Oryctolagus cuniculus: one gene and its partners. The protein of the gene in region 2 binds, or shares a complex with, the protein of the main gene of each other region. Links are inferred from orthologs where the notes say so. Each region holds a gene or a part of one and is shown on either strand. Other genes may lie near its edges.

Region 1 (7,802 bases), on a different chromosome or scaffold from region 2:
ATCGGCACTGGTTCGAGTCCCAGCTGCTCCACTTCCAATCCAGTGCTTTTCTAGGGCCTGGGAAAGCAGTGGAAGATGGCTCAAATCCTTGGGCCCCTGCACTTGTGTGGTAGACCTGGAAGCTCCTGGCTCCTGATCAGCGGAGCTCTGACTGTTGCAGGCACTTGGGGAGTGAGCCAGTAGATGATGGAAGACCTCTCTCTCTCTCTCTGCCTCTCCTTCGCTCTTTGTGTAACTCTTTAAAATCTTATTTGAAAAGATGGAATTGCAGAGAGAGGTCTTCCTTCAGCTGATTCACTCCCTAAATGGCCGCAATGGCAGGAGTTGAGCTGATCCAAAGCCAGGAGCTTCCACTGGTTCTCCCACATGGGGCAGGGGCCCAAGGAGCTGGGCCATTTCCCACTGCTTTCCCAGGCCATGGCAGAGAGCTGGATCAGAAGTGGAACAGCCAAGACTTGAACGGGCACCCTTATGGGATGCCAGCACTGCAGGTGGTAGCTTTACCCACTATGCCACAGTGTCAGCCCCTGTTTTTTCTCTTTAACAATCAAAAAACACTCATCATAGTTATATAGAAAAACAGCAAGGAGATTTTTCTAGCTACTGTTGCTTAACTTTGGTTACCAACATCTTTATTCTCCCTAATGTTACTGAGTATAATGCTTTGCAGACAAAGAAGAAATCTGTAGTTAGAAATTGGCTGGACAACTAGAATTCTAGTGCTGTTCTCCATGCCTTAGTTTCTTGTTATCTGTGGAATGCAATAATAGCTATCTTAAGTAAACTTCATTTTTTTTTCAAGATTTAAATGAAAACATACTGAAAAGTATAAATAATCTAAATTTATGGTAAGGGTGAAAATATCTAACCCACAACTTCATCTGTAATTATGATGGACACCCAGGGTACCATGAGCAAAATGATAACTGGGAAAACTCGGGCTCTGAACTGTGGGCTTCTTGAAGGCAGACAACGCTCTGTTCACGTGTTGCTAGTGCTCAGTATTAAGGTGCTTTTCCTGACTGCCCCTAGGCCTTACTGCATCCGTTTCTTTCCCGGCACTGCCAGATGTGTCAGAAGAGTAGTCTGTAACAGCAGCAGCTCTGTAACTGGCACTGCTGCTTGCTACTGCTTTCTGATGTTCCCTCCTCTCTGCCAGTTATCTTCCTCCCAGGTGGTTTTGCTGAAGGTCAGGGAGAAGGTACTGTGCTTTTTCTAAACTCTAACTTCCTGTTTTTGACTATTGCTTTGTAGTTAATTTATAAATCTTTCTCCCCAGCTCTGACTCCTCTCCTGAATGAACCTTCTTTGCAGTAAATTTCATGCAGATTCAATTTTTTTTAATTCAAATTCTTGCCCATGTCACTTATGGCTTCTTCATTTCAATCATGGCACCGCCATTCTTGAGATGTTTTAGAAAGCAGGACTTCTGAGTTCAAAAACCTTCAGGTTTCCTGTTACTCTCGGGAGAAAGCACCCGTTCCTCAGGCATCCAGGGTTATTCACATCTGACTGCATCCAACTTAGCTCTGGGCTTCATCAGCCACTACTTCCCCAAAGGTAAAATTTCTTTCTTTTTGGTAAAATTTCTGATCCATTCAAATGAGTCTCCACACTTATGAGAAAAAAAAATAGGCATTCCCTCTTATATTGTTTCCTTTTAGGAAAAATCTGTTGTTTTTTTTTTTTTTTCCCCAACCAATGTGAATTCTTCACAGTCCAGCTCAAGTGACATCTAATTTCTTGCTGTCATCATGGATACACCACATTTTGAAAACCATCAAGGAGTTAATGCTGTTCACTAAGATACTGTTAGCTGTGCAGTATTTAAGGCATGACTGCAAAGTAATGAGACTGGTATCGATGAGAAACAGTCACTTGTTTATCCACAAACCACATACTGTGCTTCCCTAACTAACTAAAATAGTCTTCTTATAAACCAAGGACCAAGGGTGGGCATTTGCAGCAGTCGTCACGACACTGCTTGGGATGCCCGTATCCCATACTAGAGTGGCTGGGTTCCGTGCCGGCTCCTTTGCTTCTGCTCCAACCTCCAGCTAGGATGCAGGCTGCCAGGCAGCAGATGACGGCAAGGACTCGATTCCTGCCAGCCACAAAGGAGACCTGGATCAAGTTCCCAACTCCTGGCTTTGGCCTGGCCCAGCCCTGGCTGTTGGGGGCATTTGGGGAGTGAACCAGCAGATGGAATGTCTCTCTGCGTCTCTCCCTGGCTTTCAAATAAAGTAAAAATTAGGAAGTAAGGCCCAGACCTGACATCTCTTTCCCCCTTTCAACACATCATTGTTCCTGCACATAGAGCATTTACCAAGAACAGATACCAAGTATCTGCCAACGGGCTGACAGAAACAAGCACAATCAGAGTAAGTGAAAAAAGCTTAAAGAAACTGCTGGTGGTTGTCTCTCTGCATTTCAAATAAAAGGAAAACTATAGTTTAAGAAAAAGCACTAGGGTCCGGCACTGTGGCATAGCAGGTAAAGCCGCAACCGGCAGTGCCGGCATCCCAAATGGGCACCAGTTTGAGTCTCAGCTGCTCCTCTTCTGATCCAGTTCTCTGCTGTGGCCTGGGAAAGCAGCAGAAGATGGCCCACGGCCTCGGGCTCTTGTACCCATGTGGGAGACCCGGAAGAAGCTCCTGGCTCCTGGCTTCGGATCAGCCCAGCCCCAGCTGTTGTGGCCATCTGGGGAGTGACCCAGAGGATGGAAGACCTCTCTCTCTCTCTCTGCCTCTCCTCTCTGTTAACTCTGATCATCTAGCAACAGTTATGTCCATTTTCTAAAAGTGAACATCTTTTAATTCAGTTTTTCCACATTTTAAAAATTATTTTATTTGAAAGGCACAGGATGAAATCTTGCATCTGCTGGCCCACTCCGCAGATGCCTGCAACAGCCGCGACTGAGTCTGGAGCTCCACACAGGTCTCCCCTGACAGCGGTAGGAATCCAGGGACGTGCCATCGTCCGCTGCCATCCAGGGTGTACACAGGGTTAGGACTCAATCCAATATGGGATGCGGGCGTTCCAAGCCGTGGCTTAACCTACCGCACCACAACGCCTGCCTCCACCTCAACTCTTGATCACGTTTTCATCCAGCATTAATCACTATCTGATGCTATCTTGCTTACGCTGTCTCCAATGGCAAAAAGGACAAAGATCTTGCCAGTCTGGTTCACAGCTGTAGCTCCAGCATGCAGAACAAACCACATAAATTTGATATGAAATAATTTCGTGTCCTTCTAATCCCGTCTTTGAATAGATGAAGAAACTTACCCCCAAACCAACAGCCAGCCTGAGGCGGACTGAAACTAAAAAACCTCGGTTCCCTAGGCATATCATTTGAGTTCCGATCTCCATGACCCTGGAGAAGCCAGTGTCAGGGGCACAGCCCAGACCCAGAGACACACACCCACCTCCTCCCAATCCATCCCACGAACCCAATCATCCCTGTGGCTGCGAATCTTCGCAGCTCTTGCAAGTTCCAGCTCCACGGCCCGGGTCCGTGCAGCCTCTGCACCTCCAGCAGCCGGCCAACAGCCACGCCCTCACCTCTTCAGCATTGGACTGGTTAGCTTCGGCCAGGCCTAGTACTCACCAGGCAGTTCCCGCATTAGATAGAAGGGGCCACAACCAGCCACTGACTTGTCTGTGCCGGGAGGAGCGGTGGCCGCCGTGGGAGGCGGCGCTGTGCCGGGTCCCCCGCCCGGCGGCGGCGGGGGCGGGGGTGGAGGCTTTCCTGGTCCGAAGCCTAGTGCGGCTGGGGGAGGTGGTGGGTCAGCTTGAGCCCCGAACAGCGCCGTGAAATTCTCCATCGTCCCCTCCGCACCGGCGCTGCCTCAGTGTCTGGCGTTGATGACTATCATTGGACAATCCTTTCACGGGGTACCGCCCTCTTCCTGTAAAGAAAGCTTATCATTGGATATCTGTGGCTCCACCTACCTTTTTCTGGCAACAACTTCCGTCGCTTTCTGAAAACGTTCAGGAAGTGCTATCTAACCTGATTGAATTCTTCTGGGTCACTTCCGCGGGCCATAAACACATATCCAATAAAATGACCTTGGTAGAAAAAGCGACAACTAGATTGGCCAGTAAACCGGTCAACTCCACTTTTCAACTCGGAATTACGGCGGCATCCAATGAGAAATCTACTTCCGGGTCTAGAGGCGGTTCTTCTGGTAGTTGGGCCAATAGAACGCTCAATGGGGTGGGAGGCGGGCCCAGATTTACGGACGCCGGTGAGCGGCGGGCGCCGCAGGACCTGGAAACATGGCGGTCTTAGCGCCTTTGATTGCTCTGGTGTATTCGGTGCCGCGACTTTCACGATGGCTGGCCAGGCCTTACTACCTTCTGTCTGCCCTGCTCTCTGCTGCCTTCCTGCTCGTGAGGAAATTGCCACCGCTCTGCCATGGACTCCCCACCCAACGCGAAGACGGCAACCCGTGTGACTTTGACTGGGTGAGCGCTCTAGGGCTCAGAACCCCGCGACCTTGACTGTCCCTGCCCCTGCGGGTGCATGTGGAGTCCCGAGTTTCACCTTCCTAAGGACACTTGAGGTTCCCAGCCTCTAGCGGGCTTGCAGACTGCTGAAGGGTGTAGGGCGCAGACTGTCATCGCATCTAAACGAAGTGTTTACGATGGGAAAACGGAGGCGGTGCCTGGTAGCCCCTGCACGACAGCCCCAGTCCGGGCTTCCTGACGCCTCGCTGTTCCTGCCAGTAGACAGCCGTGCCCAAACTCGGCACCTGTGTGGCGTTCTGCAGTACTGCTCATTGTGCAAAGCCTCCCGAGGAGCCTGGGGCGGGGGGCGACGAGGCGGGTAGTGGTCGTAGTCCGGTTTCCTGCTTGAAGAAACCGGCCTGCGCGTGGGCAGCCGACGCGCCCGGGGTCACACGACTGGAGTGCCTGGGCCTTTACAGCGACTTTTCCGGCCATTGGGACTTGCTCGTTCTGTCAGCCATCTCTTCATTGAGCACACTGTGTGCTAAGTACTGTGCTGCACCCGGATGTGGGATGCAAAATTGAATAAAACCTGAAAAGGAATTGGAGAAAAATAAAATAAAATACGTGCCAGGCCGCCTGCGGTGCTTCCTCAGTAGTTTTGAGACCGCTTATTAAAAAAAAAAAAAAAAAAAAGAGTTTAGCCCTCTCCTGGGTAGCAGCATCTGTGGTTTTTTTTGTTTTGTTTTGCCTTTTTTTTTTTTTTTTTAAGAGTCATTTATTTGAAAGTCAGAATTACACAGAGGGAGGTCTTTCATCTGCTGTTCACTCCCCAATTGGCCGCAGCGGCCAGAGCTACACTGGTGCGAAGCCAGGAGCTTCCTCCTGGTCTCCCACAAGGGTGCAGGGGCCCAAGGACTTCGGCCATCTTCAACTGCCTTCCCAGGCCACAGCAGAGAGCTGGATCAGAAGAGGAGCAGCTGGCCGCCTAGCGGCGCCGGCACACCGGGTTCTAGTCCCGGTCGGGGCGCCGGATTCTGTCCCGGTTGCCCCTCTTCCAGGCCAGCTCTGCTGTGGCCCGGGAGTGCAGTGGAGGATGGCCCAAGTGCTTGGGCTCTGCACCCCATGGGAGACCAGGAGAAGCACCTGGCTCCTGGCTCCTGCCATCGGATCAGCGCGGTGCGCCGGCCGCGGCGGCCATTGGAGGGTGAACCAACGGCAAAGGAAGACCTTTCTCTCTGTCTCTCTCTCTCACTGTCCACTCTGCCTGTCAAAAAAAAAAAAAAAAAAAAAAAAAGAAGAGGAGCAGCTGGGACTTGAACCAGTGGCCATATGAGGTGCTGGTACTGCAGGCAGTGGCTTTTACCCGCTACGCCACAACTGGCCCCCAGCATCTGTGTTCTGATGGAGGACCGACATAAAGAATTTTCCTCTTTTTCCCAGCTACCCACATTTGTCTTGGATTTACCAGAACCCATCCCCTTCCCTTACCCCTCCTTCCCTTGTTTGTTTCCTGCTTCCTCCGCCCTTTCCCAGGCAGGATCAGTGATTAATCAAATGTAGCCATGCTATGTCAAAGGATCCTTTTTTTTTTTTTTCTGATACTTGACACTACTTTAAGGAAAGTGAGACTCAAAAATATAAGTAGGTAGGGGCCGGCACTGTGGTACAGCGGGTTAACGCCCTAGCATGAAGCACCAGCATCCCATATGGGCGCCTGTTTGAGACCCGGCTGCTCCACTTCCAATCCAGCTCTCTGCTGTGGCCTGGGAAAGCAGTAGAAGATGGCCCAAGTCCCTGGGCCCCTGCACCTGCTTGGGAGACCCGGAAGAAGCTCCTGCCTTCTGGCTTTGGATCGGTGCAGCTCTGGCCGTTGCGGCCATCTGGGGAGTGAACCATCGGATGGAAGATCTCTCTCTCTCTCTCTCTCTCTGCCTCTCCTCTCTGTGTTACTCTCACTTTCAAATAAATAAAATAAATACATCTTTAAAAAAATATAGGTAGAAATAAAGGTTTCAAGAAATGTAGGCAATCTTCATCCCTCTATATCCTTTTGTCTAATATACAAAGTACTGAAAGTTTTCTAGATTTTTATTATGGTGTTTAAAAAATTCATTTAGAGTTAATAAGTAGTTTTCATTTTCCTGGAAAATTCAGTTTACTGATTTACCTTGGTGATTGGAGAGTCAGGGAATAAGGTAATAACATAAAACAGCAGTAACAGCTAAACCTCAAGATTTTAGTAGCTTAACAAAGTAAAGGTTTATTTCTATTCCATTAGATAAAGTGAATATTTCTTGTTCTTTTCCTATATGCACTGTGTTTTGTAATAACCAAGTAATTGAAAAGGGAATTTTATTGATGGAATTTTAGTTAGGAAATGCAGATGAAATGATAGTATTAAAATCATTTTTTAGAACTCAAAGTAATACATCTAGGCAATGATCATTTGTGGATGCTAAAACTTTACATCAGGTGACAGGTAAACACATTTCCTGCAGCCACACAGTGGGGACCACATAGAACCAAGTGTGATGTGTTTTTGCCTAAAAATTTGGATTTCATTGTATTTATGCCTCTAGATTTCACTACCACTTTACAAGAAATATGGGAGGGGCAGCAAAACCAGCGATGTGCAGCATCCCATATGGTCATTGGTTCAAGTCCTGGCTGTTCCATTTCTGATCCAGCTCCCTGCTGATGGCCTGGGAAAAGCAGTGAAGAGGGCCCAAATCCTTGGGCCCCTGCAACCCATGTGGGAGTCCTGGAAGAAGCTCCAGGCTCCTGGCTCCTAACCAGGTCTGGCCTATTGGCCGTTTGGGGAGTGAACCCGCAGATGGAAGATCTGCCTCTGCCTCTGTGTAACTCTGCCTTCAAATAAACAAACAAATCTTTGGTGTTTTTTTTATTTTATTTTTTTATTTTTTTTATTTGAAAGGCAGAGTTACAGAGAAAGAGGGAGGTCTTTTATCCACTGGTTCACTCCCCAAATGGCCACAATGGCTAGAGCTGGTACAATCAGGAGCCAGGAGCCAGGAGCCTGGAGCGCCTTCTGGGTCTCCCACGGTGGCCTCCGTTACTGCTTTCCCTGGAGCATTATCAGGGAGCTGACTGGAAGTGGAGCAGCCAGGACTTGAACAAGTACCCATATGGGATGCTGGTGTTGCAGGTAGCGGCTTTACCTGCTATGTAATAAACGGGCTTTTGTGGGACACCCAAACTGATACCCACTCCGTAGCGGTATGGAAGGCCTTAGACCATCCAATCCGTAGTCTTCCTCCCATGCTTTCTCAAATGGCCCTTGTTACTCTTCATTGCAGTCATTACTTTGAGATTGTTGTGTTGAGTCA
Region 2 (7,002 bases):
GCGTAACAGGCCAGCTCCAAACCTAACACCGCAAACCTGATTCTCGGCAGGTTCTGGGCTCCCGCATTTGGGCAGCAGCAGCGGGCGAGGCAGCTCGGGTCTCAGAGGAGGCGCGGTCGGGGTGTCGGCCCGGGGAGGTGCTCCTGGCGGGCCGCAGTCCTTGCTGGCCGGCAGCCACGAGGCCTCTGCGCGGGCTGCTCGACGGGCCGGACCGGTGCCCGCGCTGCCGCGGCCGGGAGGTGCGGTGGGGGAGGGGCCGCCCTGGACTGTGCAGAGCGGGAGGCGGGGGCGGGGGGGGGGCCCTTTTGAAAACTGAGTGAGTTGATGCGGATTTAAAATGGTGCCTGTCAGGTCCAAGGACACTTCAGAAAGGCCGCGGGGGGGGGGGGTGGAATTAGAAGGTTCTTACTTTGAGGCAAAGCAGTTCTGAAATCCACGCAAAAAACTTCGTGGAAATGCACATTGTGGAAAACTGCACAGATTTCAAGAGTGTTCTTGTACTGAGGCACATTTTTAAAGGTTTTATTTATTTATTTATTTGAAAGAATGGGAGAGAGTATCTGCTGGTTCACTCCCCAAATGCCCGCGTCCCTGCCTAAGCAGGCCTGTTGGCACTCTGCACTCTGGCTCTGTCGGCCGGGCCGCCCGCTGGTGGCCCCGCTCTCTGCTCGCTGGAGCCCGGTGGCTTCCCCCTTGATGTCTGCCTCGGAACTGCTGGGGCCTCTCGTGGGCAGACCCCTGTTCTCGGGGGCTCCTGGAGCCTGAGGCCACGCCTCGTGTCCGAGCAGGGCCTGGTCCCTGGGAAGCCTGAGCAAGGGTGTTGAGTGCATGCCCAGATCACATCCACACAAGCCGCGTCTCTGTGTGAGGCCATCATGGCCCACACCTCCAGGAGGGAGCGCCCGGGGCCTCGAGAGAGCTCGGCTGAATAAACCCGTGGGTGAGAGCTGATCCTCCGCTCTCCGGGGGTTTAAACGTCGGGTCGGGTCGGCCCCTTCAGACCTCCTGCTGGAGCCTGGGGCACCGGAGGAGCTGCTTTCTGAACCCTTGGTCCCACCCCCCTCCCTGTCACTCAGGACACCCGGCCCTGGAGCCTGTGTTCCCTGCCAGTCGGCCAGTGAGCACTGGAGTCTGCCGTGTTCATCAGGCCTGTGTCACCCTCGGAGTCTGTGCCCGTGACCTTGGCCAGGGAGAGACACGGCAGCCCCAGGCAAGCAGGCTCTGTGCCGCCTGGAGGAGTCTTCTCTCCTCCCCGGCTGGCAGGCGCTCAGGGCCGGGCGTGCAGCCCTTGCCTGGACAGACTGGTTCTCACGTTGCGCTCCGTCCTACAGGGGTTGGGCTTCTCCGCAGCAGGGGGACGGGAGACCCCCGCATCTTCTCTCCCGCGTCGTGACCCCGTGTTCAGTCAACGTCCGTGGGCACAGGACGCAAGGCCCTCGTCCTGGCGCGGATGTGGGCTGGGGCGAGGGGCTGGCGAGGGGAGCCCTCGTGGGCTGCCGGCTGTGCGCTGTGCGTGCTCCCTCCTGTGGCCTTTGACCCTTGCGGGTTGGGGGGGGAGACTTGAGGGTGTGATGCCTACGTTGTCCAAGACCCTTTTATTTTTGTTTTTTTCAATTTTTTAAAAAAGATTTATTTATTTAAAAGGCAGAGAGAGAGGGACAGGGATCATTCATCTGCCTCTTCCTCCCCAAATGACCACAAGCCAGGCGGCAGGAGCTCCGTCCGGGTCTCCCACGTGGGTGCAGGGCCCAAGCACTCAGGTCGTCGCCTGCTGCTGCCCCAGGCGCGCCAGCAGGGAGCTGGATGGGCAGCGGAGCAGCCGGGCCCCGTATGCGATGCCGGTGTCGCAGGTGCCGGTGCCAGCTCCGTGGGGAAGCTGTGTCCTGTGACCGGCAGTGTTTGTTTCTGTTCCCCAGTAGAAGCGTTGCTCATCTCTGACAGAATGTTTGTTTTTCTCTCTGAGTTCTGTTTGTGTTCATTCAGAAGAAAGAGCAAGTTTTAGGATTTCAAAGTTTAGCCTTTCACTGTGGCCCTCGGACTTTTTTTTTTAATGGTTTTAGCATTTATTCAGTGAGAGAAGAAATACACAGGAGAGTGAGGGCTTTATAAGAGGGAGAGGGAGCTGAGGGGTTCACCAGGCTTTTCCAGGGAGTGGACGGAGGCTGGGAGAGCACTCGTGGGCCGCGGGTGAGCAGGTCTCGGGCCAGCGGGCTCTTTGTTCCAAACAAGGAGCGGTGTTGACCTCGGGCGTTTTGGCAGTTCACGGTGCCCTGGCAGCCGCCGTCTCGTCTCGTCTCGGTCCAGGTGACCGTGGACTGCCCCTTGGAGCATGTCCAGAGAGGCCAGTGATGGTGGACCAGGCCCAGGGGGTGCAGGTGCCCGGCGGGGGCTTGGGTCTGCTCCCGCCCTAATGGATGTGGCCATCCGTTTGTTGAAGACACGTTTTCCAAGGCCCCCAGGTGCACAGGCTGGTGGTGAGAGGGCTTGGACCCGCCCGTGTGTGGGCTCGTCCTGCAAGGTCCACACTGCCGGGATGGTGGGTTGACGGCGTTCTGCAAGAAGCGCCAGAGACCGGTTTTGGTGAACAAGTCTGCTTATTGACGATCAAGCATGAGATAGAAAAGGGCAGGCGGGGGGCGTGGCTAATTCAGGGCAACACCAGCGCTAGAGGGTAAGGCCGCCGTTGGCGCGCTCTGCTTCTCAACCAGCTTGAAGGTCCTGCAGCCTTCCTGATGGGCCTGGGCCGCGCCCGGGGGCTGTTTACCTGATGGGCAGTTCCGGGCTCTTCCGCAGGAGGCTGGGGTGGGGGAACGGGCCTGGGGCTGCTGCTGCCTGCCCGCAGTGAGGCTAACTTGCGTGGGCCAGGCACAGGGTCACCCACAGCCCTGCAGCAGGCCCTGCCCCCTCCCCACAGGAGCGGCCGAGTGCGAGCGTGCCTGTGCCTGTGCCTGGGTGTTTTCCCTGGGCCGCACCCGCGGAGTGCTGAGTGCCTGAGCAGACACAGATCGGCTGCAGGTTGGAAGGCCGCAAGTCTGGGTTCCAGGCGCCGGCCAGGCCTCTCTCTGGGGGCCAATGGGCGAGGCTTGGTTTCCTTTCCCGGCTTCTGGTCGTCCCAGATGCCCCTGGCTTGTGTCGCCCCCGTCATCACACAGCTCCCTCGGCTGGCGCCGTCTTCCCCTGTTACCGGAGAAATTGCAGGGTTCTTGTCTTCGCGCAAGAAAGAATTCAGGCGTGAGACAGAGAGCAGTGGGAGGTAAAATAGTAAAATAGCAAGGTTTATTAGGGAAGGGACATCCGTGAGGATGGATGGGCACCTCTCCAGACAGGACCTGGGAAAGAGTGCAGTCGCTCGGACTGGGGGGGGGGGGGGGGGGATGTTACATGGTTGAGTGGAGAGAGTACACCTGACCAGACCAGGCGGGCGGCTCAGCAGAGAGGCAGAGGGCTGAGCGCGCAGTCCGGTTGAGGCTGGGGGCGGGGGGGGGGGAGGGTTAAGGAGATGGGTCTCTGTCTTCACACATCTCCTCCTGAATCAAAGGATTTTATGGCTGTAAATATTAAGAAGCTCCTATCTGAGTTTTCCCCTGAAGGTATCAGACAGGAGGAAGCCCAGCTGGCGCCATCCTGGGTTCAGAGGAAGGGTGAGCAGGACCCCCTGGAGAATGGGGATCCGGAGCAGGGTGTTTGAGATGCAGGTACTGGGCTGCACCTGGGAGACTGTGGAGGATTTGTCAGGCGGAAGTCGGGGGGAATCTCCACCTGGCAGGTCATCAGGTAGAAGGGGGCAGGGCAGGATGTGAAGATGCGAATACCGGGCTGCCCCTGTAACACCATCAGGATGACTTTGAGATGCAGATGCATATGCTGAACGTAGAAGTTTTCTCGGGAGGCCTTTGGCACACACACGTAAGCTCATAACTGACTTCCTGCCTAACACCCCAGGGTCTGCCCTGCTGTCCCCTGGTGACCTGTTTAACTCGATCACCTGGGGAGAACGCGTGTTTCCAGGTGGGCGAGGGGCACCGTGGGTGATGCCCTGCCTGGGACGCAGCGTCCGCTGCCCAGCGCCCGGAGGCAGCAGGTGGAGCTCGGGTGCCTGGACCCCTGCCACCCACGTTTGCCCTGCGTGCAGCTCCCAGCTGCTGGCTCTGGCTTTGCCCAGCCCTGGCTGTTGCAGGCATTTGGGGAGGGGAGTGAACGCACGGTTAGGAGGAGTATCACCGCCTGTGTGTGTGTTGTGGGGGTGCTTTTCAAGTAAAATTTAAAAAAGTTTTTAAAGATCCCATTTACAGTCGGGTCACATTTTGAGGTACTAGGGGCAGGATCTCAGCTTGTTTTATTTGGGGAGAGGGAGACACTCAAACCCACCAGGTGCTGGGAGACAAAGGGGTCCCTCTACCTGCTGGGAAGGTGAGGTGAGCCCAGGGCTGGCTTTAAAGATGGACTAGATGGCCAGGGGTGTGGAGTGTGGACAGGGTCATCCCAGGATCAGGACAGCACAGGTGCCCCGTCCACGCCCTTGGCCTGGTGCTGTGCCCACTGCGGGGACAGTGCAGGGAACACAGGCCGGCGGGGGGGCGAGGGGCACGTTGGCTGACCCCTGACCTCCGGCAGGTTCATGGGCGGGGGCGGTGAGAGCTGCAGCCTCATCGCCGAAGGCCTCAGCACAGCCCTGCAGCTGTTCGACGACTTCAAGAAGATGCGGGAGCAGATGTGAGTGCCCCTCGCGCGGCCTGGGCCGGGCTCGTGCCAGCTGGCCCGGGACCACGTGGTCTGTGGTGGGGGCGTGGGGCAGGCAGCTGGGGTCGGGGTCTGCGGCCTCCTCAAGGCCCCGTGGTGGCTGCTCCATGCCTTTCTTGACCTGCAGCGGCCAGACGCACCGCGTGTGCCTGCTGATCTGCAACTCCCCCCCGTACCTGCTGCCCGCCGTGGAGAGCACCACGTACTCGGGCTGCACGACCGACAGCCTGGTGCAGAAGATTGGGGAGGTGAGGACCCAGAGTGCCCTGGGCAGCTCCCCGAGTCTGCCGTCCCTGCCTCGGCCAGTGAGAACTGTGGTTAAGGCCTGTCAGGTGTGGGCACCCGGGGCTGGCCCCGCGTCCCCCCTGCTCTGCTCTGCTCTGCCCTACATCAGGGCACCCACTTCCTGTCGTATCCCCCCCACAGCAGGGCCCCCACTTCCCGTCCTGTCCCCCCCCAGCAGGGCCCCCACTTCCCATCCTGTCCCCCCCTGCAGCAGGGCACCCACTTCCCGTCCTGTCCCCCCACAGCAGGGCACCCACTTCCCATCCTGTCCCCACAGCAGGGCCCCCACTTCCCGTCGTGTCCCCCCACAGCAGGGCACCCACTTCCTGTCCCCCCGCAGTAGGACCCCCACTTCCCGTCGTGTCCCCCCCCACAGCAGAGCCCCCACTTCCCGTCCTGTCCCCCCCAGCAGGGCCCCCACTTCCCGTTGTGTCCCCCCCCCGCAGCAGGGCACCCACTTCCCATCGTGTCCCCCCGCAGCAGGGCACTCACTTCCCGTTGTGTCCCCCACAGCAGGGCACCCACTTCCCATCTTGTCCCCCTACAGCAGGGCACCCACTTCCCATCATGTCCCCCACAGCAGGGCACCCACTTCCCGTCCTGTCCCCCCCCCACAGCAGGGCACCCATTTCCCGTCCTGTCCCCCCACAGCAGGGCACCCACTTCCCATCTTGTCCCCCCACAGCAGGGCACCCACTTCCCATCCTGTCCCCCACAGCAGGGCACCCACTTCCCGTCCTGTCCCCCACAGCAGGGCACCCACTTCCCGTCCTGTCCCCCCACAGCAGGGAATCCACTTCTCCGTCGTGTCCCCCCGCAAGCTGCCTGCGCTGCGGCTTCTGTTTGAGAAGGCGGCGCCCCCGTCCTTGCTGGAGCCGCTGCAGCCGCCGGCCGACGTGAGCCAGGACCCGAGGCACATGGTGCTGGTGCGGGGCCTCGTGCTGCCTGGTGAGCCCGGTGCCCGCGGGGTGGGGGCTGGGCTCTCTGCTGCCGCCTCTCTCTGACCTGGGTTTGGATTTGGTCCTCTCCATCCTGAACCCCTCCTGTTGGCTCCCAGTTGGGGGTGGCTCGGCGCCAGGCCCCCTGCAGCCAAAACAGCCGGTCCCGCTGCCTCCTGCTCCGTCCTCGGGTGCCGCACTCGCAGCCCCCCAGCAGCCTCTGCCGCCCGTGCCGCCGCAGTACCAGGTACGGGTGTCACTCCTGGGCCTCAGGGAGGGCGTCCTCCGACATCGGGGCTGGGGGTGGTGGCCGCTGCCCCGGGGTGTTAAGAGGCTGGCGTCTGCCTCGTGGGGCTGTGGGGGTGCGCCCCATGGCGTTCACAGCCCCCACCAGCCGCTCCCCTCTGCCCCCAGGTCCCTGGGAACCTGAGTGCAGCTCAGGTCGCCGCCCAGAACGCCGTGGAGGCCGCCAAGAACCAGAAGGCTGGCCTGGGCCCCCGCTGTGAGTCCTGGGGCCGCCATGGACGTGGGCTGCGGGCAGGCCTCAGCGCGGCCCTGCGCCCACCACGCCCTCGCTCTCTCCTGCAGTCTCGCCCATCAACCCTCTCCAGCAAGCTGCCTCGGGAGTGGGTGCCCCCTTCAGCCAGGCCGCTGCGCCCCCACTCCCTCCAGGACCCCCTGGTGCCCCCAAGCCACCGCCTGCTTCCCAGCCTAGCCTGGTCTCCACTGTGGCCCCTGGCGCGGGCCTGGCGCCCTCTGCCCAGCCCGGGGCACCGTCCATGGTAGGTGCCTGGTGCCCCCATCCCGCTCCCTCCTGGCTGCCGGAGCCATGCAGTGTAGGGGACGAGTGATTGGCCCTCCTAGAAGCACCCAGGGGGGCGGGAGGCTTGTGGCTCGACGGTCACAGCTGCTCTGCAGCCTGGGGCTGCCCGGCCCAGCGCCGTGGGGCGTGGCGTCCTCGGATGCAGTGGGGCCGGGCGCGGTGCTGTCCCCAGGAGCGGCCAAGCGCTGTCCTGGGCGTGGGGTGAGAGGAGGAATC
Region 3 (7,526 bases), on a different chromosome or scaffold from region 2:
CCAGACTGTGGTGGCCATTTGGGGAGTGAACCAGTGAATGGAAGGTATCTCTGTCTCCGGCTCCCTCTCTGACTTTGTCTTTCAAGTAAATCCAAGAGTAAATCCTTAAAAATAATCATAAAATAGTTCTGAATATTACAATGAAAGTCAATAAATCTATCTCCTTCAATTCAAAATTCTCTGCTACCAGTAAAATTCTCTAAGAAAAAAGGTTGTTACCTGTAACGCAGCTGTGGATTCTTCACTGGGTAAAGAATCTATCAAAACATCAATATCTTTTGCTGTTCGTGCAATAAGTGCTGCAAAAAGCTGGGCATACTCTGCAGAAAGACTACTCAATTAGTATGAGAAAATCTCGGGTTTACACAAACAGAAAATTAGATTCAAGTTAATGAAACCAGGAAACTTCACCTAACTTTTTAATATTAGAATTCCAATGATCAAAGTGTTATTTTAATGAGTCAGTGTAGTGATGCACTGGGTTGAGCCACTAATCGTAATGCTGGCAACCCATGTCCCAGTGCTGGTTCAAGTCCTGGCTCCTCTGCTTCTGATCCTGCTCGCTGCTAATGTCCCTGGGATAGCAGCAGAAGATGGCCCAAGTACTTGGACCCCTACCACCCATGTGTGAGACCTGGATGGAGTTCCTGGCTCAGTCCCGGCCTTTATGTCCCTGTGGGGAATGAACCAGTAGATGGAAGGTATCTCTCATGCTCTCTGTCTCTCCCTCACTCTCTATCACTCTGCCTTTCAAATAGAAATATTTAAAAGAAAAAAATCAATTTCAAGGCACCAGTTCTGTTACATATTTAACTTAATACAGGCTCAGAGAATTAAGCCTAAGGCATGTTCACTTCATGTATTAGGATAATATGGAAGACACTAGAATCAATGAATCTGTACATGGGATGCCCTAATTATCAGGGTCCGTCAGTAAAGTTCAGCCAAATTCCTAATTCTCTCCAAGGGCACCAATCTGGTATGACACAAGAAGAATTATGGTATTATGCAAGTTAACTACAATAAATAATTTCTGGTATGACATACAAAACGTCCAGTAGTACCTCAGTAACATCTGTATAAAGAAGCAACAGAGTGAATTTCTAAATAAATCTAATTTAAAGGATTACACGAAGTCCGAGAATCAAATAAAGGGAAGCCAAGAAAAGCTGTTTACCTTCGGTGGGATTAGCAGGCTGGTCTTTGTTAATGGCTGTCTGAATGTTGTTAAAAGAGGCAGGAGGCCCACCCTGCTGCAGCACTCCAATGGCGTTACAGAACTGATCTGCAAGCTTGGGCCAGAGAAAACAGGTCAGGATTATACAAAGTTTATCAAGTCTAAAGCTTTTGCTGGTAATGGCAACAAGTTTCCCAAAACAATGCTCTCTGAGCAGGGGAGTGAATCAGAAAGGAGTAATTTCGGATAAAACAAGCCAGTGTGTTAACAATGATTAGATATTTCAACCATGCAAATAAACTTAGTATCAACCTAGGTGGTGTTGATATCAATCTAGATGAGACAGTAAAAATGGAATTAAAAGATCAATATATTTTTATGCAAAAAAATTTTGCAGCCCATGCAAACTTGTATCATCTTTCTTGTCTTCTGAAGCTAACAGAATGATAAAGACAATTTTGTGCCAATATTACAGGCAACGAGACTTTCCACGTATGGCCCCAGATTTAATTTAAAAAAGTGTTACTCATATACAATTCCTTTTCTGAGATCTCAGTGTTCACAAGGCAAAGAAATAGGGGAAATAAGGTGCCTTTTCTAATGCAGTGCTAAGGCTCGCGTTGTTAAAGTATTCCTTCAGCAGCTCTCAAGACTGAGAAACCAGTGCCTTACCATCTTCAACCAGGGACCACAGCTCCCCACCAATCCTCTCACTAGGCCTGACCTCTCAGACCTCAAGTCCTATTTCCCATCAGTGAGGAAGCATTTCCACCGCCCTTCTCCGCCATGACTGCAATGGCCGGACTCGAAGTCACCTGCTCCCCGGATAAGTATCTAACTGGTCTTGAGAGCGTCCTAGCCAACCAGTCTCATTCCAGAGCCTCATGCCTTCCAGCTTCCTATCCCGCGGATGGTTCATTCTCCCCCTTCTGTTCCATCACTTACCTCCTGCCAGAATTACTGCAATCGCGCCCTCACTGTTCTCTGGTTACCCATCGTATTCCCCCCTGCACAAAAACCGCCGGCTCACTCCACTGCGGTCAGCAAGCGGTTTCCAACTTTTCAATAATAATCTCAGCCAGCTCTTCCTAAACATTTTTCACATTTTACTCCCTCACAGTTACTCGCTAGTTATCAGTTTGCTGGTTTGCTATTTGCAATGGAGGGGGAAGAGCTTGGAAGCTATATAAACCTAGATTCTAATCCTGGTTTGATTAACCGGACAAACAGCGGAAACGCACAAAAAACCCTTCAACACAGTGGCTATCTGTACTGTCCCTCACAAGCTTTCAAGATCCATTTAGACGTTCATTCAACAAACAGTGATTGAAAAAAACTCCACGGCAAGAAACGAACATAAACCTAACAGCCGTAACACAAATATGGTGAACACGACATGAATAATTACGATTACGATAATTCAGTATTTCAGGGCGCATGGCTCCATATTCCAATTTACTCAGCACTGACAGCTGAAAACACCGCATTCATTCTAACTCCCTAACCCCATAGTGTTTTTACATCATTTAAACGTCCCCTGAGTATGTGACATCATCCTTATGCCCTTCAGGCTGTCCCTTTGGAACTACGATTGGGCTCCGACACAGCAGGCGCTCATGGCGTACCCTGAAGGCTTCTCTGGAGACCCCAGCTACCAGCAGGCCTCCCCCTGGGGGAGAGGCCACACTCCCTCCGCCCTGCCTCGCCTCCAGGGGCCAGGCCACGAAGGAAGGCTTCCATCCAGCACCAGCATGTGTAGAAGCTCCCCGAGGGCCTGGCAGGATGTCACCCACACTCGGTGGCTGCCCGCTCAGCCTCGCAAGCTCCCGCGCTGTTCACAGCACGCTGGCGCTCTGCAAGCGCTCGGCTCGTCAGCTTCAAGGGCTGGGGGGTGAACAATCACAGTGCCCGCCCAGGCACCCGCCCGGGGACAGCAGCCCCAGCAGGCAGGGCAGCCAGCGGCCGCTCCAAGCCCAGGGCCTAGGGCTCGCACGCACTCTCAGGTGCAAAGCATCGCCAGGGACAACGCCAGGGGAGCCGCTTCTCAAACCCAGGGACCTCAACGCCCGACACAAGGTTCACAAGCTTCCAGACGTCAGCTCTCGCCATCCCCGCCTGAGGGAGCGAACACAACTTCTCCAGGCGCCACCGCTCCTGCTCCCGCCCCTCGAAGTACCGGAGCCCGGCTAAGGCGTCGCACCGAGACGCAGTCTCCAGGGCCCCGGGGCCGAGGTATACGCAGAGAACCGCGTCTGCTTTCTTCTCCTCCCGCCCCCAGCACCAGTGTCCGGCGAGCCCCGTGAGGCCGCCGCCGGGCAAAGGGGCTGCTCCCTCCGCGGCCCCCGCGGCCGGCCTCGAACGCCCCGAATTCGCAGAGGCACCGCCTCCATCTGCTCGCCACCGCCGAAGGCTGCGTCTCGGGCCTCTTCTCCTCCCCCGTTTTACCTCAGGAATGAGGCAGACCGCAAGTAAGCGAATTAAAGCGCCTACCGAGTTCACGGCGTCTTGCAGCTGTGTGAGGCGGTCCGCCATGTTCCTCCCGCACGCAGAGACGCTGCAGCAGCTGCTCCTACGCGATTGGCCAGCTTTCGTACGGGTCACGGCCAATCAGAGTGCGGCTCTCCGGAAGGGGTGGGGTCATGGAGGACACGCCCCGCGAGGAGGGGCGGGTGCCGGGGAGAACGCCGGGTGAGCTACCTGGACCTGCAGCGGCTGGGGCCCGGCATCCTTTGCGCGACTGGGCTCCCTTTCAGGTTGTGAGGTGGTCAGCTGTTTACCGAGATCGTTGAATTCTGTGGGATTATTTAGTGGTTTGTCCTACTTTCCCATGTATTTAAAAATTTATTTATATATTGTCATTTTATTAGAGAGGCAGATTAAGTTCTATCTGCTGATTGATTTTCCAAGTGCCTGCAGCAACTAGGGGCTGAGCCTGGCCAAAGCCAGAGCCTGGAACTCAGTGCAGGTCTCCCACCTGGGAACCACTCCAGCTATAACCTGCTGCCTATCTGGTGCTCACTAGCAGAAGCTAAAATCAGGAGCAGAGCTGGGATTCGAACTCAAGCCCTGTGATGCAGCTGTCCCAAGCAGTGCCTTAGCCACCATGCCACACACCCACCGCCTGCCCAGGGCTACCCCAGTAATCCAGTGGATTAATCCACTCAGAAGGGCCGAGTCACCTTTCCCTATCACTGCCCTGCACAGCTCAGAAACTGTCAACTGACTCATCTCTACTTGCACATCTCAAAGGCACCTGATGTAGTTCAGGTTTGCTGTCACATGCCAGAGAGAGATGCAGTTCCCTAGCTATCCTGGACTGCTCGGGACCCTACTGCAGGAGCAAGGCCGGCGCAGGCGGGTCACAGAGTATCCACACCTCACCTTTTGCTTCATGTTAACACTAAGAGCTCCACCCCAGGGGGAGTGTGAGCTGTGCTGCCGTATGGTGCAGCCAGTGTTGGAGCATTCTTCCAAACTGTACCTTCATGGACCTGTACCCACCCCCAGGTGTGATCAGAACCTCCCTCTTACCTGCTCATCTTTCCCTCTCCCCTGCTCACAGAGTCACGGCTTTGGAAATGACTCCTTGTGGTCTCCTTGTCTGCTGCAGATATATGACTTGGTGTGACAGCTCCTTCTGGTGCATTCCTTAGATGCATGAATGCGGCAGACACATTCAAAGCATGGCAGTGGGGGAGACAGTCCTTGGGGAACTCAGCTTGCAGGACTGAGCCCGGCCCTTTCTGGGAAGCCCCACCTCTGCGTCAATAGACCTGACCTGCTGGGGGAACCACACAGGTGAGACACTTCCCATATCATGGTACCAATGCCAAGTGACTCTCATTTGCTTTAACTGTAGTTTGGAGCAGTCTGTAGCTTTCTTGTACCAGTTGAGAGTATACCGTACCGAATGTTGCACCGTGCCATGGAAGCTGCGTTTGCAAGGGGCAAAAGGTCAGGGACTTGCTAGGAGTTCTACACTTGCCCAAATGTGAGATGAATAGGGCCTGAACTAGAGTGTTGACCTTGATAAAAGCAGAAGTAAAGACTAGAACCCATCTAGGTCTCCCACGTGGGTGCAGGGGTCCAAGCACTTGGGCCATCTTCCGCTGCTTTTCCCAGGCCATTAGCAGAGAGCTTTGTCAGAAGTGGATCAGCGGGACTCCAACCATTGGTCATGTGGGATGTTGGTGTTGCTGGTGGTGCAGGTGCCACAATCCGCTGTGCCACCACTCTGGCCACAGCCTCTTTTCAGAGCCAGTGTTTGTAACCAATCATGTTGTAAAGAATGTTGACGGGGATGGCGCTGTGGCGTAGCAGGTAAAGCCACTGCCTGAAGTGTTGACATCACATATGGGCACCAGTTCCTGTCTGAGCTGCTCCACTTCCAATCCAGCTCTCTGCTATGGCTTGGAAAAACAGCAGAAGATGGCCCAAGTCCTTAGCATCCTGAACCTACCTGGGAGACTGGGAAGAAGCTCCTGGCTCCTGGCTTCAGATCAGTGCAGCTCCAGCCATTGCAGATGGAGTGAACCAGCAGATAGAAGACCTCTCTCTCTCTCTCTCTGCCTCTCTGTAACACTGCCTTTCAAATAAATAAATAAATACTTTAAAAAAAAAAGGAAGAAGAAGAATGTTGTCTCCAGCCCATGAGGAATTCACCCTCCACTTACCTAAAGCCCGCAATTTTGGGCCAAGCCATTGTATCTTCTGTCGTGGATGGTTATGTTCCAACCAGAATTTGACCACACTGGGACACTTCCCAAGACTCATTCAGTCACTGGGCTTGTGTCTCCCTGGCCTGCTCACTCATATTGTCCCGAGTCAGCCCTGTATGAATCACTTTACAGAGCCTGCTTTGTTCCTGTCAATGCTCTGACATCCTGCGACCCCCACCCCGCTCCTTGGCTGCACATCCCCACTTCTCCATGCTGCATTCAGACTTGAGTCCAAGCTCTCCTCCACTCTGCAAGACCCTGTTGTGGTGCTGGTACCTATCTTGGTAGGCCTGGGTAAAGACTTCCTCACCATGCTTTAACAGTATCATTGAATAGCTTTTTCTGTAACAACCAGCTTCTGTACCAATCAATTGGCTACAGCTTAATTGACTAATTGTTTACAGCTTCATGTGTTAAACTGACTACAGGGCCTTCTACAGCCACTCAACAATGACTTACTGTGGTTAAACTTGATAACTGAGTAGGTCAACCAGTTCAGGTACCCCATGCGAATCCCTGGCCTTCAACAAAATCTTACTTAGCACATGTACATTTCATGAATGTGTAGAGTCCATGTAGATGTGCTTCTCTTGCACGTGCCCCACCCCACCACGAGCTGAATGACATGTGGTTTTAAGAGGAGGGACCCAGTATTATATGTCTCATCTTTTAAACAGCTAATGTGGGTAAGTACTTTCTTTTAAACTTTATATTATTAAAAGTTTCAAACATACACAAGAGTAGTGAACCTTCATGTAGGTATCACCCAGTTCAACAATTATCAACTCAAAACCAATGTCATCATTAGTACTTTTTTTTAACAATCTATTTAATTTGAAAGGCAGAGTGACAGAGCTAGAGAGACACACACAGAGAGAGAGATTACTTTTATCCACTGTTTCACTCCCTAAATGCCCTTAGCAACTAGGGCAGGGGCAGACTGAAATCAGGAGCTAGAAACTCCATCTGTGTCTCCCACAGAGGTGTCGGGGACCCAAGTACCTGAGCCATGATCTACTGCCTTCCCAGGTGCATTAGCAGGAAGACAGATCAGAAGCAGAGCAGGCGGGATGTGAACCGGCACTCCAGTATGTACGTAGGCATCCCAAGCAGCTGCCTAACCCTCTGTGCCGCAACACCCACCCCCAGTACTTTGGTTTTTTAATCTATAGTAACTCTAGTTTTTCGGAAAAAAAATCATTATTTTTAACTTGGTGTCTTAACCCCTTAACTACCTTTTTTACCTGTTGAGCACTAGGCTGCATCACTGTAGAAGAGCATTGGCTGTGCTGATCCTGCTGTTCTGTTGCACACTTCAGTGCACACTACACCAAACACACATAATTCTCTTTCTCGCCTCCACCTCCCTCTCCACTTTGTTCCCTTGGTGATTGTCTACTTGGGCTTCCAACCTTATTGTAAATATCTCTTTCTAAAACTTTCCTGCGGGAACAACCTTCGGGAGCAGCCTGGGTTGGAGCCCTGGCTCCACTTCTGATTCCAGGTTCTTGCTAATGTGCACCCTGGGAAGCAGTAGGTGATGGCTGAAGTGCTTGGGCCCCTGCCACCCACATGGGAGACTCAGATGGAGTTCCAGGCTCCTGGCTTCAGCCTGGCCCAGTCCCAGCTGT
Region 4 (7,690 bases), on a different chromosome or scaffold from region 2:
GGAAGGGAGGGAGGGAGGGAGGGAGGAAGGAAAGAAAGAGTGATTTACAGATCGAGAGAGACATCTTCCAACTGCTGTTTCACTCCCCAAATGGCCACCAATGGCCAGGGCTGGGCCAGGCTGAAGCCAAGAGCCAGGAGCTTCTTCTGAGTCTCCCACGTGGGTGCAAGGGCCCAAGCACTTGATAGGGACCATCTTCTACTGCTTTCCCAGGCACATTAGCAGGGAGCTGGATCAGAAGTGGAGCATGGGGCCAGCACCGTGGTATACGGGTGAAGCTGCTGCCTGCAATGCCAGCACCCCATATGGGTGCTGGTACAAGTCCCAGCTGCTCCACTTCCAATCCAGCTCTCTGCTATGGCCTAGGAAAGCAGTAGAAGATGGTTCAAAATTCTTGGGCCCCGGCACCCCCATGGGAGACCCGGAAGACGCTCCTGGCTCCTGGATTTGGACTGGCAGAGCTCCAGTGGTTGCAGCCATTTGGGGAGTGAACCTGCAGATGGAAAACCTCTCTCTCTCTCTCTCTCTCTGCCTCTCAAATAATTAAAATCTTTAAAAAAAAAATAAAAATAAAAAAGAAGTTGAGCAGCTGGGAATCGAAATGGAGCCCATAAGGGACACTAGCATTGCAGGCAGTGGCTTAACCTGCCAGGCCACAGTGCCAGCCCCAGAAAAGATCTTTGCCTTGGTAACACAGATCTTAGGTTATTACAGCACTATTTGGAAGCTGCTTCCCTACTCTAAGACAAAAGGCAAGGCCTCCAAAATATAGCCCTGCTTCTTACTGCCATGAACTACCCCACATTCAGAACTTCTAGAATAACCAATCGACAACCGTGCCCTAGGCTTTCACCTAAGAATGTAATTTCCCAAGTTTCCCCTTTTACTCTCTTACCATGAGATCTTCATCCCGGTCTGGGGATAACACCAGAGGGATGATGACCTGGTTGCGGAACAGCGGTGTCTTTTCATGCTTCAAGACCTTGTTCAGGGTGTTCAACTGTCCAGAAAGCAAGGCAAAGCTGTCCAGGACAGAGGGCCTAGTGGTGGTAAGAAAGTGTCAGAATGTTCTAGCCCTTCCCTGGGGTGTCTCCCAGTGAGATAACCTTTGACAAGTCCTCAGATTAGGAAAACTGAGACTGACCCCCAAAAGACTCATCCCCATCACGAGCCTCGGCAGGACCCAGACCTGGAACAGGAATGCGGGGTTAGGAAAGAGGGACACGCTTTCAGCTCCTGACGGAGGCAGAAAAAGGCAGTTCATTGTTTGAATGGGGTGAGAAACACTGGAAAACAGGAACCATGGCTATTCTATGACAAAAAAAATCAGAAACTGGGTGAAAGCCTCCTTTCTGCCGGGAAACAGGAGCCATACTTCAGCAGTAGGCTGGATCTAAAAGACAGCCACATTAGTGGCAAGAGATCCAGCATGGACTGAGATATAGTGGGAAGACCCACTGAGAGAGAACTCCTGACCAGAGATGAAAAGGGTAAGAATCAAAAGCGGCCAGCGCCACGGCTCACTAGGCTAATCCTCCACCTAGCGGTGCTGGCACACCGGGTTCTATCCCGGTCGGGGCACCGGATTCTGTCCCGGTTGCCCCTCTTCCAGGCTAACTCTCTGCTGTGGCCAGGGAGTGCAGTGGAGGATGGCCCAAGTGCTTGGGCCCTGCACCCCATGGGAGACCAGGAGAAGCAGCTGGCTCCTGCCATCGGATCAGCGTGGTGCGCCGGCCGCAGCGCACCAGCCGTGGCAGCCACTGGAGGGTGAACCAACGGCAAAAGGAAGACCTTTCTCTCTGTCTCTCTCTCTCACTATCCACTCTGCCTGTCAAAAAAAAAAAAAAAAAAAGAATCAAAAGCTAGAAAGAACGTGGCTGGGCCGGTGCCTTGGCTCACTTGGTTAATCCTCCACCTGCGGTGCCAGCATCCCATATGGGCACCAGGTTCTAGTCCCGGTTGCTCCTCTTCCGGTCCAGCTCTCTGCTGTGGCCCAGGAGGGCAGTGGAGGATGGCCCAAGTGCTTGGGCCCCTGCACCCGCAAGGGAGACCAGGAGAAGCACCTGGCTCCTAGCTTCGGATCAGCGCAGCGCCGGCTGTAGTGGCTGTTTGGGGAGTGAAGCAACGGAAGGAAGACCTTTCTGTCTCTCTCTGTCTATATCTCTACCTTTCAAATAAATAAAAATAAAATTAAAAAAAAAAAAGAAAGAAAGAAAGAACGTGGCTTGGGAAACTGGGCCGCTCTCTACTTCCTTGCCACGGAGGCCCTCAGCCAAACTTCACTTACTAAATGTTGGGAAACCAAGCTCTTTCCAAATTACCCGACATCTGCAAACTGATAAATGGTTACATCATCAGAGATGAACTACTCGTCAGGAGCCCTCCCCAGTTTGCCCTGGCAACCCTTACCAGGTTAGCCTGTCATACTCGTTCTCCAGCTTGTAAATGAAACTTCCCAGTGAGTTCTTCAGATCAGCCACTTGACTCAGCAGTGCATCTAATGACGCCTCCAACTGCTTCTCCTCCCTCTGCACCAACAGAGATGGGCTGGTTACCCAGAGAGATATGAGCATGACACCTTTAGAAGAAGGCTGAAAAGCGTCGGAGAGAGTATGCCAACCGCAGTTGGCTAACACCGGATCTCACTGGAATGACAGCCAGGTTATTTTCTATCTTTGGTATTTGGGTTACAGACAGCACCAACCCTTAGACCTTTCACCTGACCTTAAGTCCTCCTACCAACTGATTCTCGCTCTCACACCTCCAAATCCAGGCCTGCTTTTCCTCTGTATTGCACGTGCCCTACTCTCCCTTGTTGAGAAACTCCTGCCAGACATAATGCCTGGGATTCATCATCCTATGCACATTTCTGTGGCACGTGTGCCCTAGCTTCCTTCGTCCTAGAATCTGCCCTGTTCTTGTCAACAGCACAGCCCCTGCGAAATCTGCCTGGACATGAAGCTTTCTCTGAACCCTAGTTCTGCACGCCCCTGCCCCTCGCTCCTCATTCGTGCTTAGTGGGTGATGTTTCAACTTTCTCCTTTATTTCTGTGCCAATATTCCTGTGCCTCTTTCACAAGCTCAGCTGACCCAGAAGGACTTACTGAAACACTGCCCCATCCAAGAAGCAAAGCGACAAGTGAAAAGCAAAACCACCCACCCAGCTCACATGACAAGCAATGTCAAGTAGTGGGGGTCTGCAGGCATTCCCTTCCCACGGTGTGGGGGGGTATCTTCCGTTTTACTTCATTTCCTCCGTCTTAATAACTCTCAGGCACAGACTGGGAAAAATGATGCCAACCCCACACTGCGCCTGACAGGAGCATCATCTTGGGTTTCACCCAAGGTTTCAGTTGATAACAACTTAGCTTCTGGCCAGCTCGGCCCACAATTCCTTCACCCTTCGGGCTTCTCTCCGATTGCAGATTCGCCGTTACGTCTGCATCCAACAGCCTAGGCTGAGGCTTGAGCCAATTCATGTCTCTCTCGGGCCGTCTCCCTTGGATTGTATCTCGGCTTTCGCAAACTACATCCTGATGCTTTCCCAGCCCCAAACAAGCGGCGGCTGCCTCCGCCCTCCCGACTTTGCTAGTCTCTCCCCTGTCAGCGGACTCCGCCCCCACGTAGCATCCGCGCCGCTTCTCCACTTGGCCTCGTCTCCCCTCTGCCCTGGCCCCGCGTCCTCTTGCCTCCGCCCTCTCCTCTTCGGTCCAACTCCTAACTCTCCGCAGCCAGCCCACTCTCGCTGCGTTACCCAAAGACAGCTAGCTGCCACTAGGCCCACCCCGCTTCTCACCTGCATTGCGGCAGCCGTGGCAGCCGCAACCACTTCCTCTTCCGGTTTCCCAGTTTCTGAGGGTTTTGTCCACCAATCAAGGAAATCGGGGCTTGGCCCGCCCACCGACTTCCGGTTCCGGCCCGGTACTGAGGTAGCCAGGTCAGGGGTCACAGTGGATCTGCCTCACTGGCCCGGGCCGGCGCGGGAAGGCTGTGTGATGGCCTCGGAGCGCCCGGAGCCTGAGGTGAGGGGCGGGCGGGCGCAGAGCTGGGCCCTGAGACCCGAGCGGGAGGAGCGGGCGGTGCGGGCAGGCGCGACCTCGGCCTCCTGGCCGGCCGACGGCCGGGCCGCGTAGCGTCGGCAGGGACCCTTGCAGCCCCGCATCCCCGCAGTCCGTTCTTTCCTCCGGAGGCTGGAGGAGAAATGCTTCGCTCGCTCTGTTGTGCTTACTGAAATCTCTTCCGCGTCGCCGACTTGACCTAGTGACAGTGGTGTTAATAAACCCTGTGATTTGGTTCCTGTCGCGGTTTCAGTGCGCTGGACGGCAGCAGCCGGTGCGTGTCTTCAGACACGGGCGTGCAGTAAACAGCACGAGTTAATTTAGTTTTAGCACTCATGATGGGGAAAGCAGCTTTGGTTTTATTGGGGGGGGGGGGGGGCTTGGCTCGGAGTGAGACCCAGTTCGGATTTTAGCGCTGCTATTTAGCTCTCTCTGAAGCCTGGGGCAAGTCTTAACTTCCTGGATTCTGTTTCTTTGTTGTTAGTCTGTTGTGAGAATCACGTGTGTGAAGCCAGAAAAGGCTTAAGCTCTCTCTGTCAGATGCCAAGGACCATGCAAGCAACTTTACATACATTGTGTCATTCACGTTTGCACAATATCCATTCTCATTTTCAGAAAAGAAAACTGAAAAGTAAGATAGGTCAAGTGCTGTACATACGCCTGAGAGTAGCAGATTTTTGGAGTTAGAAAATCTGAGCATAAAATCCCAGATTTGGGTAGAGATGCCCAGCACTGTTGGAGAACATACCAACAGATGGGAACAGTGAGGAATGTGTGTAAGAATGCAAATAGGCCGGCGCCGCGGCTCACTAGGCGAGTCCTCCGCCTGCGGCGCTTGCACTCCAGGTTCTAGTCCCAGTTGGGGCGCTGGATTCTGTCCCGGTTGCTCCTCTTCCAGTCCAGCTCTCTGCTGTGGCTCGGGAAGGCAGTGGAGGATGGCCCAAGTGCTTGGGCCCTGCACCCGCCTGGGAGACCAGGAGAAAGCACCTGGCTCCTGGCTTCCGATTGGTGCAGCGCCGGCCGTAGCAGGCATTTGGGGGGTGAACCAACGGAAGGAAGACCTTTCTCTGTGTCTCTCTCACTGTCTAATTCTGCCTGTCAAAAAAAAAAAAAAATACAAATAGTATACCTTACCTGCATGCCGGCCGCCATTGTAAGCGGTTTACCAATGGCAGCTCATCCTCTCCACCCTTTTCAGTTAAGGAGACTGAGGCTCAGAGATGTTATGAGTAGCAAAGCTACACAGTATTAAATATTAGAGCTGGATTCCAAAATAGGTGGTCTGGCACTGCGGTTTTTTGTTTTTGTTTGTTTGTTTGTTTGTTTTTATTTTTGTTTTCTGATGCGGATGCAGGTGTCTGAGGCAGCAGCTTAAGCGGCTTCATCACAGCACCCACCACCAATTTTTAAAAAAAGATTCATTTATTTAGTTATTTATTTGAAAGGCAGAGTTAGAGAGAGAGGCAGAGAGAGAGAGAGATCTTCCATTTGCTGGTTCACTCTCCAAATGGCTGCAATGGCCAGAACTGGGCAGATCCGAAGCCAGGAGCCAGGAGCTTCTGCTGGGTCTCCCACACGGGTACAGGGGCCCAAGCACTTGGGCCATCTTCCACTGCCTTCCCAGGCCACAGCAGAGAGCTGGACTGGAAGTGGAGTAGTTGGGACTCAAACCAGCACTCATATGGGATGCCAGCACTACAGATGGTGGCTTTACTTGCTATGCCACAGCATCGGCCCTGGCTCTGTGTTCTTAACCTTTATGTTTATAGTATAAATAATAAAGTAGTCACAGGATAGCAACTCTCCAGTTTATTAGGATTTGGTGTGGTGAGACCCAACAATCAAAAACAGCTATGCTCTTTTTGCAAACAGTCAGACACTTATACAGAGGTGGTGGGACAGCCCATGCACTAGAAATAACAGTATTGAGAAAATCATGAAACAATTTGAAGTATGTTTTGTTATGGGTTAAAATGAGAGGAAATTGAGGAATGTTGCAAGTAGTCTAAAATAGTACTCTCCTGCCTTAATATAAGCCACATATGTAATTTAAAATTTCATAATAGCTACACAGTGAATTTAAAAAGCAGGTAAAATAATTTAGCATACAATTTCCAAAGTAGCATCATTTTAATGTGTAACAAATGTTTAAAAATGAGATATTTAACATCCTTTTTTTGTACCGTCTTTTTTTTTTTTTTAAGATTATTTGAGATGCAGAGTTTCTGACAGAGAGAGGAGAGACAGAGATCTTCCATCTACTAGTTCACTCCCACAAATGGCTGCAATGGTCAGAGCTGATCTGATCTGAAGCCAGGAGCCAGGAGCTTCTTCCAGGTCTCTCATGTGGGTGTAGGGGCCCAAGCACTTGGACCATCTTCTGCTGCTTTGCCAGGCCATAGCAGAGAGCTGGATTAGAAGAGGAGCAGCTGGGACACAGACTGAATGGGATGCCAGCAACCATAGGCAGAGGCTTAACCCACTATGCCACAGCACTGGGCCCTGAACCAAGTCTTTAAAATCCAGTGTGTACTTTACACTTAGAGCACATCTCATTTTGGGTTAGCAAAGTTCCAAGTGCTCAATGGTACGGGCTTGTGGGGAGCAACTCGGACTAGACTAAGTTACTGGAATTAAGACTTATTCTATGCATCTGCTCTCCCACAATATGGTGCGGAGAAGGGAGAAACAGCTTCTACATAGCTGCCTCCAGTTCAACCAATAAACTGTAGGACCTGCTCCTGATTGGAGGAGAGCAGCGTACTCGGCGTGTGGGTAGCAGAGTTGGGATTGGTGGAAGAGGACTATAAAGGAGGAGAGAGACAACGTGCACCAGGAACATCTAAGGGGAACATCTGAAGGAACACCTGTGCAGCCCCTGAGAGAGCCGGCTGGCGGTGTGCCGCTCCCCTGCGGAAGTGGGGAAAGTGGCCAGGGGGAACCGCCCTTCCACGGAGGTGGAAGGGACAGTAGCCAACCCGGGAAGAACCAGCAGCAAACCCGGGGAGGGCCGAGCAGACGAAAGAACAGCGCAGGGTCCTGTGTCGTTCCTCCACGAAGAGGGGGAGCGACATAATGGTGCCGTGACTCGGATATGAAGCCTAGGCAGGGTTTAGTGTCGTTCCTCCACGAAGAGGGGGAGTGACACGGGCTACCATATTGAACAGTACAGATAGAATGTAATTTCGAGTCACGCACACACACTCCTATGTCTCATTCAGCCAAAAGTTAAGCATCGGTTCAGTTTTTGATTTGCATTTCTGAAAATTTTATCTCAGAAGGTAAAGGTAGTGAGAAAAAGTTCTGCTCCTGGGCATGAGAAAGTGACTGGCTTCGGAAGTTATTAAATCCAGGAGAAAGATTGGGCACAGTCAGCTTTAGGAAATCATAGATTCATCAGATGCCTAGAATGCTTGATGAATTGTGCTAAGTATCAGGGTGGATACAGAACCGTGTAAGACATGTTCCCTATCTTTATGGAGTAAACAGACATTGAATTATGATAATAAATATTGCAAAGGAGCCAATGAGGGTGTTTAAAAGGGATTTAACCTACTTTGTTTAGAGGTCGGGGGTGGGGGAGGGTGGATTGGAAAGCCACCTCAGAGGAATGACATGTAAGCTAAGGCTGA

What was found. Proteins that work in one complex are often made in the same cells at the same time.
Region 1: MED25 (region 2) and MED19 share a complex: the UniProt entries of both Homo sapiens proteins name them as parts of the mediator complex. The link is inferred for Oryctolagus cuniculus from reciprocal best matches to the Homo sapiens genes MED25 and MED19.
Region 3: MED25 (region 2) and MED21 share a complex: the UniProt entries of both Homo sapiens proteins name them as parts of the mediator complex. The link is inferred for Oryctolagus cuniculus from reciprocal best matches to the Homo sapiens genes MED25 and MED21.
Region 4: MED25 (region 2) and MED8 share a complex: the UniProt entries of both Homo sapiens proteins name them as parts of the mediator complex. The link is inferred for Oryctolagus cuniculus from reciprocal best matches to the Homo sapiens genes MED25 and MED8.

What each region holds. Positions count from the first base shown.
Region 1 is NC_091432.1:14,438,654-14,446,455, reverse strand, and holds the start of MED19 (mediator of RNA polymerase II transcription subunit 19), read right to left. Parts: upstream 3,911-7,802; 5' UTR 3,828-3,910; coding exon 3,611-3,827; intron 1-3,610. Other genes in the region: TMX2 (thioredoxin-related transmembrane protein 2), read left to right, coding at 4,282-4,470. UniProt on the Homo sapiens protein: Component of the Mediator complex, a coactivator involved in the regulated transcription of nearly all RNA polymerase II-dependent genes.
Region 2 is NC_091449.1:7,730,201-7,737,202, reverse strand, and holds part of MED25 (mediator of RNA polymerase II transcription subunit 25), read left to right. Parts: intron 1-4,614; coding exon 4,615-4,713; intron 4,714-4,867; coding exon 4,868-4,988; intron 4,989-5,810; coding exon 5,811-5,973; intron 5,974-6,082; coding exon 6,083-6,210; intron 6,211-6,377; coding exon 6,378-6,465; intron 6,466-6,551; coding exon 6,552-6,745; intron 6,746-7,002. UniProt on the Homo sapiens protein: Component of the Mediator complex, a coactivator involved in the regulated transcription of nearly all RNA polymerase II-dependent genes.
Region 3 is NC_091440.1:124,252,286-124,259,811, reverse strand, and holds the start of MED21 (mediator of RNA polymerase II transcription subunit 21), read right to left. Parts: upstream 3,911-7,526; 5' UTR 3,710-3,910; coding exon 3,668-3,709; intron 1,293-3,667; coding exon 1,178-1,292; intron 321-1,177; coding exon 220-320; intron 1-219. UniProt on the Homo sapiens protein: Component of the Mediator complex, a coactivator involved in the regulated transcription of nearly all RNA polymerase II-dependent genes.
Region 4 is NC_091438.1:129,632,169-129,639,858, reverse strand, and holds the start of MED8 (mediator of RNA polymerase II transcription subunit 8), read right to left. Parts: upstream 3,911-7,690; 5' UTR 3,803-3,910; coding exon 3,797-3,802; intron 2,548-3,796; exon of another isoform or gene 2,529-2,547; coding exon 2,410-2,528; intron 1,041-2,409; coding exon 896-1,040; intron 1-895. Other genes in the region: KICSTOR complex protein SZT2, read left to right, coding at 3,996-4,022. UniProt on the Homo sapiens protein: Component of the Mediator complex, a coactivator involved in the regulated transcription of nearly all RNA polymerase II-dependent genes.